Tribolium castaneum: one gene and its partner. The protein of the gene in region 2 binds, or shares a complex with, the protein of the main gene of each other region. Links are inferred from orthologs where the notes say so. Each region holds a gene or a part of one and is shown on either strand. Other genes may lie near its edges.

Region 1 (3,342 bases), on a different chromosome or scaffold from region 2:
ACCCTGGCGGTGTGGTGCTTTTCGGGGGTTCCCATGGCGGCTTCCTCGTCACGTATTTGAGTGGGAAGTACCCGGACATGTTCAAGGCTGTGGTGGCCCGCAATCCGGTCATTGATGTCGCCTCGATGAGCATCATCTCGGACATTCCCGACTGGTGTTACGTCGAAGTTGGCTTCGAGTACACCCAGGTTGGGAAACCTAGCCAAGACGCGCTACTTGCCATGCGCAAGGCTTCGCCCATCGAGCATGCGCACAACGTCAAAGCGCCCACTATGCTGCAAGTGGGGTGCAAGGACTTGCGGGTGCCCCCACACCAAAGTCTGGAGTACTACCACAGATTGAAAGCAAACGGGGTTAAAATTAAGTGTGTAACTAACACGACTTTGTTTTTTTTTTCTGATATTGTGTTTCAGGATGAATTTATACGAAGATAATCACCCCCTAGCCCAAATTCCTAACGAAATGGACAACTTGATAAATTCATTGCTATGGTTCCAGGAACATCTCTAGGTTTAAGTGAAAAAAATATTTACCGTGTATTTTTTATTCAGAAATAAAAACGTACAAATCAAACAGTTAGTAGTTCTTCTTGTACCTTTTTCCATGCGTCAAGGGGGCCGTGTTCGGGCCTGTAGCGAACATTGCAACCGTCAGGGGCCAGCCTTCCTTGCTCCTTCAACTTATCGTACACTTCGCGGTCATATTTCGTAAAACCAAACTTCTTCGAAACGTAGATTTTCTGGCGTCCGGGGAACTTGAACTTCGCACGACGCAGGGCCTCAATGACTTGGGCCTTGAACCTGTCGCTAGATCGCACACTCATGATCGGCTGGCCAATGTTGACTCGCGCGACGGTGCCTTGGGGCTTCCCGAAGGCTCCTCTCATCCCAGTCTGGAGCCTAAACACCAAAAACAAAATAAAAACAAACTTATTTAAAAAATGCACTAAAAAAGAAAAAATAATGTTCAAAATATCAAACATTTTCACACCCAAAACGATTTTCTCGTCAAACTGCTGTTTTTTCTTAGTATTTCATTACTTGAATTATAAAACTATTAACCAAATAATGAATTAAAGCGAACAGACCAAGAACATCACAATATCTCAAAAACAATAACAATTATCCTGCAAAACACCAGACTGCAGATAACGTAAGTATGCAAAATTTCAGTTCATTCGTACAAGAACCCTTTCAAATTTGACTCGGAAAACACGAAAAAGGCAGACAACCAATGCAAAATAAGCAAGCTTGTAATAATGCAAGTCACGACGTGAATCATCAACGCACCTATCGGCTCCAGCACATGACAACATCTTGTTGATGCGGATAACGTGGAACGGATGGAGTCTCATGCGAATGTGGAACTGGTCTTTACCGCAGTTCTTGACGAGGTACTTGTTGGCGCAAATACGCCCAGCTTCAAGAGCCTCCGAACTCAACTGTTCGTACTCATCGGAGACTAAATGGACGCACAGTGGGAAGTCGTCCACTGTTGCTTTCTTCTTGCCCAAGTCGAAAATACGGATTTTCGGGTCGGGGACACCGCGACAGAAACGCGATTTGGGGTACGGCTTGTTTTTGCAGTAGCGATAACTGGAAAAAAAACTGTGAGCAGAAATGTTTGGTTATGGGAAAGTAACCTACCATCTCGCTGGACGTCTACCCATCTTGATCTGCAACGAAATAACCAAATTTATTATTCAATTCGTAAAGAATACGAAACAATGAATCAATTGGTAGCAAATTTGTGGCGAAATAGTGGAAGATGACTAAAATATTAGCAGAAATTTACTTACGAAGTAGACGTGAGACGAGGACAACAATGAAGAGGTTGACAACCAGCTGTGCCAACCTAAAGCGAAAAGAAACGAAAACAATAAATCCCCAACTATTCAAATCGTTTCAGCTCCACATATTTTTTACAAAAAAAATTGTTATTGTAAGGGGGAAAATAAGTATAAAACTATTTGATAGACATATATTTTAACAAATTATATACAAAACCAATATCACCTTTAAAATATAAATTACTTGATTATCCAAACCTGTAGAGTTAATTAAGACTAAATTGTAGGTACAACTGCACAATATATACATAAATGAAAAATTCGATATTTCCGCATTAAAATCCATTGATTTGGGACGTTTAAATGCCTCAATTTATCACAAATGAGTATTTTGGTTAAAAAAATGAATCTCGTTACCTAATGTCAAGTCACAAACTGGTAAAACCGTGCTCAAATAATACAAATAAAATAATTGTGTGCCCGTAATTACCAATAAAATTAAAATGTACATAATTAAATATGTACAGCTCTTTCATTTAACCCATTATGAGCCACAACAGCCAACAAATGTCTAGTGCTTGACCCGCTAGTATAGCTATCCCCACTACTTCTAGCACTAGCATGCGACATCGGCGTCCCCGGTAATTTTTGCGGAGTACTTTCAACAGAACTAGTAGCACCAGTACTCTCGTATAGTGGCCCAGGAGTCGGGGCTGGCTCTTCAGGAGTGTAATAATCAGACTCGTCTCCTCGCTCTTCACCATTGCTCCCTTAAAAAAATTAATTTATGCCGCAAACTTAAAACAGAGAGATTAAAATTTTATTTAAAACCAACCCTGATTAAGTGTCAAGCTTGCAAATAAACTTGACTCTTCCATTTAAAAACGAAAAATAAAATTTCATAAGTCACTTACGATATGTTTTTGTTTTTTCCGAAGCCGGCCTTGAAGCAATATCTTCATGATCCGTGTCTGTATCATCAATAGGCTCAACCACATCCACCATATTCAACGCCAAACTCCCATTTCTCAGATTTTCGCTGTTTTGCAACAAAGGAGACAGTTTTTCAGCATCACTGTCTTCATCACCATTTTCATCTTTTTCAGACTTCTCATTAACGTGTTTAACTGCATCGTGGATGCGGTGCTTCAGACGCGGACTTGAAATTTTCTGCTCAAGGAGGGGACATTTGGGGGTCTCCTTAGTGTCCTCCTCCACACGAGTCGTCATCAAAACCCCATACTAAAAAAAAACCAAATCACAGCAAACTTACAGAAACCTATAATTTGGAACAAACCTCAGGAGTCGTAGGGTCCGACCCCTTGCTCTTCAGTGGCGTGCGATCAGCACTGCGGTTTAAAATCTGGGCAGCTTGAATGGCATGCTCACTTTCGGGAGTCTCGACCAAGTCGGGCATTGCCGATGGGGGCTGTCGGGGAATACACGGACCGTTCAAGGCCTCAATCAGCGAAACTGCCTCGTAACCTGGCGGGATATTATCGCAACTTCCCTAAAATTGTGCAGTTAGTTTGTCTTGCACGAAATAAAAATAA
Region 2 (3,378 bases):
TATTGTGACAAATTTTTCGCAACTATCACTTTTATTTATCATCGTAACCATGCAAGCAACTCGATTTATCAGACCATTTTGTTCCAACTAATTTCTGTTACTTTTTTCTTCATCTGGAGGCTGTAGAAAAAACGTTGTTTGTATTTCGTGGCGAAATTCATGTTTTAATGGCGCCTTCGAATGTCTTTTAGGTCTCGACCTGGCGGTCTCGACTAAAATAACATTCTCAGGCGCCATTAAAAAAACACTCATTTCGCGCACTTAATACAAAAATTACTAATTTTCCTAAGCCGTAGAGACTAACTTTCTATATACATGTTGTTTTTTTGTAATTTATTTGCATTTTTGATGTAGCTTTTAAAACTAATAATTTTGACTTAACTAATGTCTGTTTATTTTCCTTGGTTTTTTAAGTATTTTAACGAAAACACTCTTATTTTAAAAATGTATTACTCAAAAACTAAGACTACAAAAATTGGACTTTCACCACTTTCAAGTAAAATGTTTAAACTTTAGGAATGTATTTTTTCTTAGTCATTTCGATCAAAAAAATGTTTGTTAAAAGTTAAATAACTTAAAAATTTTAAATGGAACACTATTTTTTATTTTTACATTTAAAAGACCTTTAAACTGTCTATCCAAAAACAATAAGAGTTAAGTGTCTTTCAAGTGCTGATTACTTGAAAGATATTTAACTTTAAATATTACCAAGTCGGTAGGACACCGTACAGACCTCCGTAGCATAAACCGATTTTTTAGTAAGAAAAATAAATGTGGGCTGTGTGTATAGAAAACCATCCTTTATTGAATTGTCAATTTTTTACAGTTAAATCAATAAAACATGGTACTTAATCTAAAACTGCATTCTGTGAGGGTACTGCGACGACCTCAGCCCGAACATAGCCGACAAATAAGCCAACAAAACTTTCCTATCGGGGTGCTTCTTAATAGCTTCAAAGACTTGCTTGTCGACTACTTTTTGGTCAGCTTTCCTCTGATCGCTCACTTTGTACGCCTCCTTCTTGGCCTGGAAAATATCCCCTTCCTCCTTCTTGGCCCTCTTCTCCCTCTTGCGCCGGAAATACTCATCATTGATAGTTTCCGGGATTTTCACACCGCTAACATCGATTTTCGTCTGCGTGCCTATAACATATCTCTGACTGATCCGCCTCAAGGGACACGAGTTGATCTGCATGGGCCCCGTCACCAGCAGCAGCCCCGAGTGCAACTGCTTCAAGAACACGACCCGCTTGCCCTTGTGCGAGCCCGCGAGAAGGATACACACAGTGCCGGGAGTAAGAGTCGAGCGCAAGTGGCGTTTATGTTGCTTGAACGTTTTCTTCGCCGGGTGCTTGCGGATCTTGTCCTGAGTGGGGTAATAATTGCGGCGTTTCTTAAGGAAAACCTTGCGTTCCTTGCCGTTTTTGTCGCCGCCGATTTGCTTCGTGACGAAAGCTGGCTTCGCCGGTTTTTTAGTGGCCTTCACTTTCTTGCCCATGAACTTGTAAAGGGCTTTCTTATGGTACATGCGGGTGCGGGAAAAACGCATTACGCCATTGCCGAGGTCGTAGTTGCGCGGTTTCGACGATTTTTTCTTATCGTCCGGCTTTTTTTCCTGCTTTGCAGCCTTCGCTGTCGGTGCCATCTGAAAAAACACACTGGGTTATGAGTGCAACGTGTGACTGCCGAAATCTGGGGTTATGTTGGCGAATTTTCACAAAAGTGGTCAGATTCACGTTATTCGACACTGCAGTCTTCAGAAGTGTCCTAAGGCAAATAAAATCATCACTTTAAAGGCATTTTACGGATGTAAGACGGTGTATTGACACTTTTACGAATAACCTCACAAAATGTTTTTTCGGCACAATTTCACTGAAATAACACTAGATTTGGGTTTTAAATGAGCCGACGATTGTTTTAGAAAAGGTTTTGGGGCAAAAAAGTAACGAAAAATGGACGATGATTGTGGATTTTTGTAAAAATTCACTTCGAAGACACTCACCTTTGCAGATGTTGCGGTGAAAGGAGATGGCGCTGCTAGTGATTTTGTCACTACCAACATAAAATTGAAATGCGTTCTTAATTCCTAAAATGGGGAAAATATTGCACTTTCGTTATCGTATTTAACACTAAAATTAGTTCTTTAGTTATATGTGCACTAGTTAGTGGCCTAAGGATCGGCTTTTCACCATTAAAATAGAATAAATTTACACAGTTGGGGAAAACCCAACAAAACAAAGGACACCACCAAAAATTTGAATTGTTAACACAATGATAACAATTTCACGAAGTTTTTGCAAACAAATAATAACTAAAAAGTCTTGGTTTTTAAATATTTTTATTTAGATAACTACATCATCTCTTTTACATACCTAATCTAATACTTTCGTAATTCCATCAAAAATTAAATATCAGTTTATTAAATTTGTGATGAAACGTCTTCCTTTCATAGCAGCGCTTCCGTAACATTCAACTCAAAAGTGTTAGAATATTCAGCCCTATCAGAAGATAAAAATAAACAATACAACTATCACAATTAGAAAAAGTCGCCACTCAGACAAACAAAAGCCTTATAAGTAATATAAAATAAATGTTAAACTTTTACCGGTGCTTTATTGTAATCAGAGATTTATAAAAATTTCATTTGTTGCTAAATTAGAGCTCCTCGCTTCCGTAAACGTTTTCATCAGAGTAAGCAATGTACAAGAAAAAGTCCTCTTCGTGATGCTCCTAAAACCGTGAGTAAATCCCCTAGATCACACACCAGTGCTACCAACCTGGTAGAGCGAGCCCATGGTGGCCGAAGTGGGCGGAATGACGTTATTTACAAAGAAAAACAACGCATCCTCGGGCCTTAAATGGATCCGTTTCCTAATCAAAAAGTAAAACTGTCCCACGGTCAAATCCGACGGAACCAAATATTTCTTCTTGTCCAAATCACCAATTCGGGCCCTGGGGGCTTTTTCGACGATCACCTGATTACGAAAACAATTGACATCACGTGACCTTGATACGCCATTTTCGTAAAAACAAAACAAATGACGACGTGTGGTGAAATCGGGGAAAATGGGGCTAGGAACGGGGGCTTTGGCCCCAATTTGGGGCTCTGGACGGGGCGCTTCTTTGTTTGGGTGCAATGACGCAGATACTTACGGGGACCCTGTCGGGGTACTTTCGGCGGATTTTCTCGCCCTCGGACTTTCTCTTCTCAAACGGGTGCTCTTCTTTGTATTGGAATTTCATTTTGAGGGTTTTGACACAGGAATTTGGGCCGTTGACAAGGTTTCGATACGTTTGTTCACTTTGGTCACTTTTGCTTGTTATGACACAAAACAATCGATCGCAATAACTTCCTCTACTGCGCATCCAAAACAACAA

What was found.
Region 1: RpL6 (region 2) and RpL10 share a complex: the UniProt entries of both Caenorhabditis elegans proteins name them as parts of the large ribosomal subunit. The link is inferred for Tribolium castaneum from reciprocal best matches to the Caenorhabditis elegans genes rpl-6 and rpl-10L.

Annotation. Positions count from the first base shown.
Region 1 is NC_087395.1:15,962,192-15,965,533, reverse strand, and holds RpL10 (large ribosomal subunit protein uL16), read right to left. Parts: upstream 1,915-3,342; 5' UTR 1,799-1,914; intron 1,676-1,798; 5' UTR 1,670-1,675; coding exon 1,647-1,669; intron 1,596-1,646; coding exon 1,290-1,595; intron 900-1,289; coding exon 569-899; 3' UTR 529-568; downstream 1-528. Other genes in the region: acylamino-acid-releasing enzyme, read left to right, coding at 1-364, 414-510; Mrgn1 (E3 ubiquitin-protein ligase MGRN1), read right to left, coding at 2,303-2,559, 2,704-3,031, 3,087-3,299.
Region 2 is NC_087401.1:11,661,728-11,665,105, forward strand, and holds RpL6 (large ribosomal subunit protein eL6), read right to left. Parts: upstream 2,159-3,378; 5' UTR 2,063-2,158; coding exon 2,003-2,062; intron 1,646-2,002; coding exon 854-1,645; 3' UTR 786-853; downstream 1-785. Other genes in the region: gamma-aminobutyric acid receptor-associated protein, read right to left, coding at 2,656-2,730, 2,778-2,975, 3,154-3,366. UniProt on the Caenorhabditis elegans protein: Component of the large ribosomal subunit.